3 linked regions of the Ovis aries genome follow. The protein of the gene in region 1 purifies or fractionates together with the protein of each later gene. This does not show direct contact. Links are inferred from orthologs where the notes say so. Each region holds a gene or a part of one and is shown in the gene's direction. Other genes may lie near its edges. The genes, in order: KIF5B, KLC3 and KLC2.

Region 1 (3,745 bases):
TCAACCCTGAATATTCACTGGAAGGACTAAAGCTGAAACTCTAATATTTTGGCCACTTGATCCGACGAGCTGACTCATTGGGAAAGACCCTGATGCTGGGAAAGATTGAGGGCAGGAGAAGGTAGCGGCAGAGGATGAGATGGTTGGACAGCATTACTGATTCATTGGACATCACTTTGAGCAAACTCCAGGAGATATTGAAGGACAGGGAAGGCTGGGGTGCTTCAGACTGTGGGGCTGCAGAGTCCCACACGACTTAGCGACTAAACAATAGTACACGCCTCTTTTTTTTTTTTTTAAATTTTTGGCCACGCTGCAGCAGCATGTTGGGTGGGATCTTAGTTTCTCCACGTGGGATGGAACCCCTGCCCCCTGCATTGCAAGACGGATTCTTAACTACTGGAGCACTAGGTAAGTCCTACACTCTTCCATTTTACGAACAAAAATCGGGGACTAGGATTAGCGGTCCTAGTCGTCTTTGCAGTTTTTCTGTCTTCACACTCCAGATGTGGAGACTGATGAGTTCCATAGGATTATTACGGAGTCATTGGGACCGCCAGTTCTCCGGGGGTCTTCTCCCACCTTACCCTACTGTTGCACTTTTCTTCAGCACCTTCTAGTCCTCAGACGAAACTTCCTTTTTCTTATTCCTGTCCCCCAACCCCCTCTCTTAGGAATGAGCAACCACTTGAACCATAAGCCACGTCCCGCCCTTCATTCAAATCTTCCTTTTTCTGGCAAAGCGCTCTAAAAAGGTGGGCTAGAAATCAATGTATCTCCAGACAAAACAGAAAGCGAACACGTCCTAACAGGAATATAGTTTTTCACTTAAACTACAACGTCAAGCACTTTTAACAAGGTCCCTTGTCCTCTACAGAAAAAAACGTTAGGGCATCGCTTAACTCCGCGGAATCCCCTGCGGGGTCGATAGCTCACTCTGCGCTTGCGCGTCCGGTAACTTGGCCCTGCAACCCCGGCGTGGAGCAGCGGCGCGGCCGCGGATTGGTCGCCGGGGCGCCGGTCCGCCGCGCGTGCGCAGTTCTCCGTCCGCGCCGCCCATCCCGCCGCCAGTCCGCGGCCTCAGGAGTGGTCAGGCTGCAGCCGGCGAGCCGGCGAGCCGACAGCCGGGCAGGCTGAAGGTGGGCTCGGCCTGCTGTCTCCCAGGAAGACAGGGGGGCTCGCGCTCCCGGTCTCCGGGATCCGTCAGCCCAGCAACCTGCCCCGCCAGTCAAGGGAGAAGCTGAGGAGGCCCCGCCGCCGCCATGGCTGCCATGATGGGTCGGAAGTGAGCCTGTGGGTGACCGTGCCGGCCCGGGCGCTGCCGCCCAGGTCCCGGCCGCCCCGCCGGTGAAGCGCGACGCTGCGGACCGCGGGCCCTCGGCCTTCGCCACGCTAGCCCCCTCGGCTCGGCCTACTTCCTCCAAGACTGAGCGGCGGGGAGTGGCTCCCGGCCTCCGGCCCCGGCAGCCGGGAAGATGGCGGACCCGGCCGAGTGCAACATCAAAGTGATGTGTCGCTTCAGACCGCTCAACGAGTCGGAGGTGAACCGCGGCGATAAGTACATCGCCAAGTTTCAGGGAGAAGACACGGTCATGATCGCGGTGAGTGCCCCTGCCCCCACCCAGGCTCCCTCCTTCGGGCCCGGCCGCCCCGGGAGCTGAGAGAAGTGGGGAGTGAGCGGAGAGCGAGCTTTGGGGCGCCCCAGCCTCCCCAGTGGGGTCCGACGGCCCAGGGGAGGGGCTCGGCGCCTCGTCGGGTGCTCCGGGGTCTCCCCACCCCGGTCTGCAGCGCCGGGGACGGGAGGCACCCGCCCTGGGTCCCGGGCACTCCCCTACCTGGGGCGCGGGTGGAGCTGTCGGGGAACCAGTTGAGTGCTCGTTCGCCGGCTTTCTGTGCGCCTGCAGGTTCTGATGTAGATGTAGTCGGTGTGTCGGACCCCCTTCCCCTCAGATTTATCATTCATAAATCAGAGTTCGGCCGAGAACGTTGGGATCTGCCTTACCGAACTTTAAATAGTAATGATATTTAGTCTTAAAAGAAATCTTTAAGGTGCGTTAGGCCGTCTTGTTTCCTCCGTGGAGAAGGAAAACCATAACTAACAGTCGCAGTTATGCTGGTACCTTCAGTGTTCACCCAACCCGCTTTTTGAGTTTACAGTCACAAATGGCTAATCCAGGACTTGTAGAAAGGAGTTTTCTTTAGAAATCGAAGCGCTCGATTTTGTCTCATCCACCAACGGATCTCGCCGATCAACGCTGGGTTAAATAAGTAACCAAGAGACTAACTGGGTTTTATGGGGTAGCACTCCGGGAAAGAGTGTTAACTTTTCGTGTGTATATCAAAATATTATAAAAGCAAACTTAAAAAATATATATATATAAAAATTTAATCAGTAAACTAGATTTCTTGTTAGTATCAGATTCCTACTTCTACAATTAGGATCTGCCTTGAAGAAAAATGACTTCGATAATCACAAAGATGGTGAGATAATGTCTTTTGTAACGTGAAACATAACGTGAAAGGTCTTGAAAATAATTCCCAATTCAAGGAGATTAAAATGGAGAGTAAGATAACTGCCTACAGAACAGTGAACTCTGACAAAAAATTAAATTCCTCTTTCTTGCTGATGCCATCTTTCTACATTGCTATCACGCCTCCCAATTTTAGTGTTAACTTTTTCACCTTACCATTTAGCATAAGTTTAAATATCTTAATGTAGAAATGGGACAGAAGTATCACAGGAGATGGAACATTGAAGGTTAGAAGCATTGACATGTAAGACAGAACTCAAGTTCCTTGAATTTTTATGTGAAAGTTTCCAAGTTCTGCTCTAGAAGATTAATGTCATAGCTCCACATTGCTTGGGAGGGTTTTGGCAAACAAGTCATTAGGTTCCTAATAACTGCCAGCTCTTACTGTGTGAAGACTGTCAGGCTGGTTCTTTGTTAACAAGTCCACAGAAAAACCCTTGCTATACATGACATCATGGAGAGGCCAAGAAGTTATACACAAAACTAATCATCCTTTTCCTTCAGGATGAGATATTTCACATGATTTTAGAGGATGCTCACTAGGCCTGGATTGTTAGTTGGCCAACACTAGTAGGCTGTTAGTTTCTCATATGATTTTTGTGATTACTCAGCCTCTATAGTGGTTGACATAACCAAGCTATTTTCCTTTCAGATTTGTGTTAAGGCTGTTTTATTTCTTCAGATTTTTTTTTGTATGTGGGTATTTACACAAACCTATAGTATTATGAAAATTTATTTGTTGTAATGGTAAGATTTAGGATTCACAAAATGTTTTATGGTTAGGTTAGAAGATAGCCTTCTGTTGCGGGCCAAATATGACATAAGATAGGAGGAAAGAGTTAAAAGAAAATAAACAATTAGCACAGGAAGCACACATTTATTTTAGGTTCTTTTCCTTTGGATAAAGTTATTTTAAGTTCCTTACTTAGGTTTCCTTAGTACTTAAGTCAATTCAAGTGGTGATATTAAACATCATGGACAGGTAATTTAGTCATAAACCAGTAATGTACAGTTAGTTGACTTTTACATAAACTGGTAAGCATTTTAGTCGTTTCGGGTTTTTATTTTTTTAAGTATAAGCAGAAGTATATGACAACTGAGTGTGATAGAGCTTTAGAAAGTGTAAGGCGACATGTTTAGTTCATTAGTTTCAGAAACCAGTCTTCTGCATGTAGAAGTCATTAATTACTCTGAGATCTCTCTTAAAAAATTTT
Region 2 (3,745 bases), on another chromosome or scaffold:
CACAGTTCAAAAGCGTCAATTCTTCAATGCTCAGCCTTATTGTCCAACTCTCACATCTATACATGACTACTGGAAAAACCATACCTTTGAGTGTATGGACATTTGTTGGCAATGTTTCTGCTTTTTAATACGCTGTCTAGACTGGTCATAGCTTTTCTTCCAAGGAGCAAGCATGTTTTAAATTTCATGGCTGCAGTCAAGATCTGCAGTGATTTTGGAGCCCAAGAAAGTAAATCTGTCACTGTTTCCATTGTTTCCCCATCTAGTCACCATGAAGTAATGGGACCAGATGCCATGTTCTTAGTTTTTTAAATGTTGAATTTTAAGCCAGTTTTTTTTTTTTTTACTCTCCTCTTTCACTATTGTCAAGAGGCTTTTTAGTTCCTCTTCGTTTTCTACCATAAGGGTGGTGTCATCTGTGTATCTGAGGTTATTGATATTTCTCCTGGCAATCTTGATTCCAGCTTGTGCTTCATCTAGCCCAGGATTTTGCATGATGTACTCTGCATACAAGTTAAATAAGCAGGGTGACAATATACAGCCTTGATGTACACCTTTCCCTGGGGGAGAACAATAATGCATCTGTGCTGAGTTGCTTCAGTTGTGTCTGACTCTTTGTGACCCAAAGGACTGTAGCCTGCCAGACTTCTGTGTCCATGGGATTCTCCAGGCAAGAATACTGGAGTGGACTGCCATGCCCTCCTCTAGGGGATCTTCCCAAACCAGGGATCGCACTCGCATCTCTTATATCTCCTGCATAGGCAGGTGGTTTTTCTTTTTTTAGCTCCGCTTGGAAAGCCGAACCAATAATATAACACCACAAAATCAGCAGCTAATATTTGCTAAATGCTTCCAATCCATATATTAAGGCATTCAGTCCTCACAGCTTTTGACTAATCCATTAGAGATCAGGGAAACGGAGACAGAGAGGTTAAGTTACTGTCCAAAGCCTGCACAGCCAGTAAATGGTGAAACATGATGTGAACTCAGAGCCAGATTTTTAGCCTCGCCAATAACCTGATGTAACATAACACAGTAATTATAATGTTATATAATTTTAGGTCCTGAAAAAATTTATTAACAAAATCAAGCAGATAAATGAGGTTGTGTTTCGGTGGGAAGGGTGTATTTTAGAAGCGGCAAGGAAGGCCTCTCGGAGGAAACGGCCTTTGAAAAAGGACAAGCGTCGAGATGTATGTGGAGAGATTTCCAAAGCGGGCGCACAGCCGAGGCGAAGGGCCGGAGGCTGGCCTTGCAAGAAAGCCATCCGTCTGGGATGTAAAGTTTCTAAGATTTCGAGTTTCCAAGATTCTAGTTTCGCGGAGACTCTCATTTCCCGCGCGCCTGCAATCATCTCGGATTCGACGTGCCGCAGAGACTACCGGCTAAACGCGCGCACAAGGCTCTGCTACTCCCGCAGCGCTGGGGCGGCTGGGCTTAACTTTCCAGGAGCGGCGGGCGGGGCCGGTCTCACCTGCGGGGCGGGGCTGCGGGCCGCCCCGCCCCGCCCCGCGGAGGAGCCGCCCGCGGCCGGAGACTGCGGGCGCAGCTGCGGGCGGCGGCCGTGCGTGCGCAGCGCGGAGAAGCGGGACTTGGAGCCGTTCGCGGTCAGTTGGGCGCCAGGAGTGTGGGGGGGAGTCCCAGGAGCCGAGAGGATGGAGGCGGGGGCAGAGGGTGTGGGCTGGGCCTGGCACACCCCTGGGACCAATGGCCTGGAGACGGGGACGGGCCTTGGGGTCCCTGGACGCCCCCTGTCCCGCTCTCGGGCTCTCCCGGGTCTGGAGGGCGCGCTGGGGCCGCGCCCCCTCTCTCGGGGCGCAGGTAAACAGGCGCGAGGACGGGGCGGGGCCTGGGAAAGGGAGGGGGCCCTTGTGACGGCCCGGCCGGCTGGCAGGCTGGCGGGCTGTGAAACCGGGGTGCGCGGGGCTCAGCCGGCCGGCCAGGGGTAAGTTGTGTGGTTTGGGGAGCGGTCCATACACTCCCGCTGCAAGTGTATATGTGCGTGGATATTGGGCGTGAGTGTGCACGAGAGATGGTGTAGAAAGCTCAGATGTGTGTGATGGTGTCAAACGGTGCGTACAGATGTGGGTACAGGTTGGTACCGGGGATGGCCTGTCCGTTTAGCCCTGCGAGGGCACCAAAGGACCGTGTGAATGATGTGAAACTTTCAGTGGTGTGAAAATGTGGGCCACCTCTGATGGTGAGTCTGTAATGCTGTGTGTGTGTGTGTGTTTGGCAGAGTTGAACTGTTTATAGGGTTAGGTATGTGACCGAGAAATTGCATGGCCGTGGTTGTCTCTCTGATGGTAAGACTGGTGGGGGCGGGGATGGCAGGGAGGTGTGTGCTGTGGGGTACAGGATGGATGTGTGGAGTGTGACTGATTATTGTGGTCAGCTGTGTGCTGGTACACACGAGGCTGAGCAGGTGAAGGGGAGTGTGCTGTTTGGGAGGATGTGTGAGTGTGGGAGACGTGTCAAGGACAGTCCGAGTGATGCGTGGCTGTGGTCGAGCTGTATGTATCTCTGTGAGCGGTACTCTATGAGGCCGTGTCTGGAACAGTCGACTCAGCTGTTCGAGGTTGTGCTTGATGTTGTAGGAGGTTGTATACGTGAATAAGGGTCATGGTTGTCAAGATGACTCAATGAACTGGCGTGGTCGTGAGTGATCATTTATAGGACTTGCGTGTAAGGTGTGAAGCTGTTAATAAGTCTGATGTGATATACGCACACACATGTACAACGTACATGGAGATCGATATGTGCGTGAACACATACACATAGGGAAAGAGGGAGATTCGGGGTGGAGAGCCTGCAGTGTGCAAAACCCCTGTGGTTGCACACCTGCCCTTGCTCTGTGTCTGAGTGGATGTGATTGTGAGCATGTGCGCAGGTGTGAAAAGCGCAGCGCTGCTTTCGGGGATGCCACGGGTGGAGTGAAGTCAGCCTGCGAGTCTGTGCATGAGAACGTGGAACTCTGTGTGTCTCCGTGTGTCTGTGCCGTGGGCACCCGCTTGCGAAGGTGTAGGAGCCAGCATCGGGTCATTCGCACATTCGTGCGTGAAACTCTAGTGTGTCTGTGTGTGGCCGGGCAGGGGCGGTGGAGGAAGCGGGGAGGAACGATGACAGGTCCACCGCGAGTCCTGGGAGCCGAGAGGGAGGGAGGCGTGGGATGGAGGGCTGGCGCTGGCAGGATGTGGAGGTGTGGGAGAGTGCATGTTCAAGGAGACAGTCCGAATGGGAGTGACTTGGGATTGGGTTTCATTTTCACAAGTGAAGAGGGGTGAGGGAGGGGGGTTTATTTGTGTGCTGGCTTTTAGTTTCAGGGGTGCAGCAAAGTGATTCGGTTGGATTTTCTCTTTATTTTTCCCATTGTTTTCCACTGTAAGTTATTATAATATATTGAGCACAGTTCCCTGAGGTTTACAGTAGATTCTTGTTGGTTATTGATTTTACATGTGTATATGTTAACCCCAGTCTATCCCTCCGCACCCTCTGCCCCCTTTGGTAACCATACGTTGTTTTCTGTCTGGCGTTTTATTTCTCCTTCTTATCGTTTGGTTTGTTTTTGGCTGTGCTGGGTCTTCCTTGCTGCGTGGGCTTCTCGTCGAGGTGGGTTCTCCTGTTGCAGAGTACAGGCTCTAGGCGCTTGGCCTCCACAGTTTCAGCTCCCCGGCTCTAGAGCGCACGCTCAGTAGTCGTGGTACACTGGCTTATTGCTCTGTGGCATATGGATCTTCCCGGACCA
Region 3 (3,645 bases), on another chromosome or scaffold:
AGGAAAGGAGTCAGGGAGTTGGGGAAGAGGGATGGGAGCTGAGGCCCCTGCATCCCCTTCCCTGCCTCTCTGGTTCCCCAGAAAACCAGGGGTTTAGGACACATACTCCTCTCCCTGGGAGCTGCAGGTGGCCCCTGGGCAGAAGTCAGGATGGGGTCTCTTGGTATCCTTTCAGCCATCTCTCAGGAATCTTTGGAAAAGTGCTAGCCCTGGGCCAGGGGCAGTGGTTTAGTGGCTCTGGCTACAGGGCTTGAGTACAACTCCTCAGAGAGACAGGAAGAGAGCGGCCAGCTTGGAGAACGGGCAGCACCCCAGTCAGCGCTCTTCATGATCAGAACAACTGGACGTCTATGCGGAGGGCTAGCTGGAGGCCCCAGGAAAGGGGATGATGGGTTCTTTCAGAGTCTAGCAGAGCCAGCCTGGGAGCCCAGGGGTCCCTACTGCAAAAGGAAGGAGCTGGGGATCCCCAAGCCTCCTGGGTTCAGGTCTCAGGCTGTGTGTGGTCTGTTTGGGGCCCTGGGGCAAAACTCTGTCAATGAGAGAACTTGGGACCCTCAGGCTGGCAGCTCCTCCAGGCCTGGCTCTTTTCTGGGCCCCAGGAGGCCCAGGCTGGGCATGGTGTGGGGGCGGGTGGATAGGGCTTTGACCTCCATTCTGGCTGTCTGCCACAGGTGATCTTGGCGCTCTCAAGCCATCTGGGGGCCGTGGAGTCGGAGAAGCAGAAACTGCGGGCCCAGGTGCGGCGCTTGGTGCAGGAGAACCAGTGGCTGCGCGAGGAGCTGGCGGGGACGCAGCAGAAGCTGCAGCGCAGCGAGCAGGCCGTGGCCCAGCTCGAAGAGGAGAAGCAGCACTTGCTGTTCATGAGCCAGATCCGCAAGTTGGATGAGGACACCCCCCCCAACGTAAGCCCCGGTGTAGCCATTGCAAGGCCACTGCGGGGGGTGGGGGGCAGGTCCAGGACCAGGGGAGGTGCCAGGGAACAAGCGCAGTTCCCACCCAGCCTGCTGACCCCTGGGCTGCCCACATTCCCTGACGCTCATCCTGTCTCCCTCCCCAGGAGGACAAGGGGGATGTCCCCAAAGACTCTCTGGATGACCTGTTCCCCAGCGAGGAGGAGCAGAACCCAGGTGCAGAGGGGCGGCTGGCTTTGGGGGTGGGAAAAGAAGACTGGGTGAACCAGTCCCTGGGACCCAGAGGTCACAGGAAACGAGGTCTGACTGAGTGACCACCAGGTGCTTCCCTGCCTCGTTTCTGATCATAACATCCCAGCATGAGCACTTAAAAGGCTGGCTTTACCTGTTGCTTCTCTCATCCCCTCAAGTTCCGTGAGGAGCAGGCATCACAATTCAGAGCCCTGGAGCCGCCCGGCCTGGGTGCGAGCCCTGACTTGCACTCTTTGGTCTGTGACCGCTGGTAGAGTTTCTTTTCTTCTCCGAGCCTCCCCCGAGGGTTAAAGGAGGACGCACGCGCAGCACTGAACCCCAGGCTGGAGCCCCGGGCCAGTGCTGGCCTTGCTCATGTTTCCTGTGCCAATCAGAGCCTCCCTTCTGCAGATGAGGTGGCGGCCGCTCCTCTCGGGAGCGAGGCGGCTTGCTCTGGGCCACATGGCTTGAAGTACCAGAGCTGGGCCTCCACCCTCTCTTTCTGTGGCTTGCCTGGACCCTCTCTATAGATGCGGAAAGTGAGAGAGGGTGACAGTGACTTGCCCAGGGCCACGGGTGTGATCAGTCAAAGCTGCCCCCCAGCTCAGGGGGTACATCTGGCCTCCCCTCCTTGGCTTTGCAGCCCCCAGCCCTGGAGGAGGCGATGTGGCCGCCCAGCACGGGGGCTATGAAATCCCGGCCCGGCTGCGCACCCTGCACAACCTGGTGATCCAGTACGCCTCCCAGGGCCGTTATGAGGTGGCCGTGCCCCTCTGCAAGCAGGCCCTGGAGGACCTGGAGAAGACATCGGGCCACGACCACCCGGACGTGGCCACCATGCTGAACATCCTGGCGCTGGTCTACCGGTGAGGCACCCCCCCGACCACGGTCACCTGTGGGAGCACTCTTCCTGGGGATGACAAAGCACTGGTGCCTGCAGTGGGCCAGGACTCGGGCTCCACTAGGCAGCAAGCTGGGTGACAGAAGGATCTTGTCCCCAGAGAGGGCTGAGCCCACAGCAGGGCCTGGGCTACACATCATGCCTCAGTCTAGTGCGGGAAATGGGCTTGGACAAGACTGGGGAGGGGGCAACATACAAGCGCGCTGGGCACAGCCTCTCCAACACCAAGGCTTGAGGCGGGCCTCTGGTGAAAGTGGAGTTTGCCCAAAACGTAAGGGGATTGGAAGTTTTGTTGGCAGAAAGAGCAGCAGGAGCAGAGGCCCTGGGGAATAGACCACAAGGAACACTGGGCACGAGGCAGTGAGGGCAGGGCATGGGGGGTGTCTGGCTCATACCCCAGCACTGCATGTGCTTCCTGCCCAGAGCCCGCCAAGCCGGAGGGCAGGGGCTGACCATGTTTCTCAGTGCCCTGGGTCATACCCCCATCGTGCTCACTCATCAGAACAGGCAGAAGGAGTGACCCCAGGGATCTGGGGAGGAGGGCCTTGGGCTGGAGGATACCATTCATCAGCTCGCACCTGCCCCTAGGGACCAGAACAAGTACAAGGAGGCTGCCCACCTGCTCAATGATGCCCTGGCCATCCGCGAGAAGACTCTGGGCAAGGACCACCCAGCTGTGAGTGAGGCTTCCTCCCCGCCCCTCTGTAGGTCCCAGGTCCCAGCAGGGCCCAGGTCACGGAGCCTCTGTTCTCCCCTCCTCTAGGTGGCTGCAACACTGAATAACCTGGCAGTCCTGTATGGCAAGCGGGGCAAGTACAAGGAGGCTGAGCCCCTGTGCAAGCGGGCGCTGGAGATCCGGGAGAAGGTGGGAGTAGGCAGCGCAGGGCCGGCCAGGTGGGCTGGGGGTGCCCCTAGGCTGGCCCCGAGCCCAGCCACTGGTTCCTCTGGTGCTAGGTCCTGGGCAAGTTTCATCCAGACGTGGCCAAGCAGCTGAGCAACCTGGCCCTACTGTGCCAGAACCAGGGCAAAGCCGAGGAGGTGGAATACTACTACCGGCGCGCGCTGGAGATCTATGCCACACGCCTTGGGCCTGACGACCCCAACGTGGCCAAGACCAAGAACAACCTGGTGTCCTGGGGCGGAGGGGGCCTGGAGGAGGGGGGAGGAGGGGAAAAGACTCAATTCCTTCCATCTTGCTCACCTCTGGGCCCTGCCCCTCCAGGCCTCCTGCTACCTGAAGCAGGGCAAGTACCAGGATGCAGAGGCCCTGTACAAGGAGATCCTCACCCGCGCTCACGAGAAGGAGTTCGGCTCTGTCAGCGGTGAGCAGGGCTGCCGGGGGCTCACCCAGCGCAGGCCAGCTCAGCCACCAGCATCCACGGCAGACACCTCGGCTGGGCAGGCCTCGCGCCAGGTGTCTGGCTGGTCCGCAGCCATGTATGTGCACATGTGAGCACACGCCCCCCCACTGGCACAGCCTCCAGGGGGCTGGATCCATGCAATGCCCTCCCTGTGCACACCTGTGTCCTCAGCTTTGAGCTTCTACCCCTTGCTCTACTGGGCAACACATGCTCAGTGGGAGGGCCCAGCCCAAATGTCTTC

Evidence for each region.
Region 2: the proteins of KIF5B (region 1) and KLC3 purify together in Homo sapiens (affinity purification with mass spectrometry; 3 studies listed by BioGRID and IntAct, with this or other methods). This does not show direct contact. The link is inferred for Ovis aries from reciprocal best matches to the Homo sapiens genes KIF5B and KLC3.
Region 3: the proteins of KIF5B (region 1) and KLC2 fractionate together in Homo sapiens (co-fractionation; 7 studies listed by BioGRID and IntAct, with this or other methods). This does not show direct contact. The link is inferred for Ovis aries from reciprocal best matches to the Homo sapiens genes KIF5B and KLC2.

The regions. Positions count from the first base shown.
Region 1 is NC_056066.1:32,694,309-32,698,053, forward strand, and holds the start of KIF5B (kinesin-1 heavy chain), read left to right. Parts: upstream 1-1,069; 5' UTR 1,070-1,475; coding exon 1,476-1,601; intron 1,602-1,626; exon of another isoform or gene 1,627-3,745. UniProt on the Homo sapiens protein: Microtubule-dependent motor required for normal distribution of mitochondria and lysosomes. Can induce formation of neurite-like membrane protrusions in non-neuronal cells in a ZFYVE27-dependent manner.
Region 2 is NC_056067.1:52,758,480-52,762,224, forward strand, and holds the start of KLC3 (kinesin light chain 3), read left to right. Parts: upstream 1-1,513; 5' UTR 1,514-1,607; intron 1,608-3,745. UniProt on the Homo sapiens protein: Kinesin is a microtubule-associated force-producing protein that may play a role in organelle transport. Plays a role during spermiogenesis in the development of the sperm tail midpiece and in the normal function of spermatozoa.
Region 3 is NC_056074.1:40,746,570-40,750,214, forward strand, and holds part of KLC2 (kinesin light chain 2), read left to right. Parts: intron 1-671; coding exon 672-902; intron 903-1,057; coding exon 1,058-1,127; intron 1,128-1,785; coding exon 1,786-2,008; intron 2,009-2,631; coding exon 2,632-2,719; intron 2,720-2,806; coding exon 2,807-2,908; intron 2,909-2,997; coding exon 2,998-3,171; intron 3,172-3,265; coding exon 3,266-3,365; intron 3,366-3,645. UniProt on the Homo sapiens protein: Kinesin is a microtubule-associated force-producing protein that plays a role in organelle transport. The light chain functions in coupling of cargo to the heavy chain or in the modulation of its ATPase activity.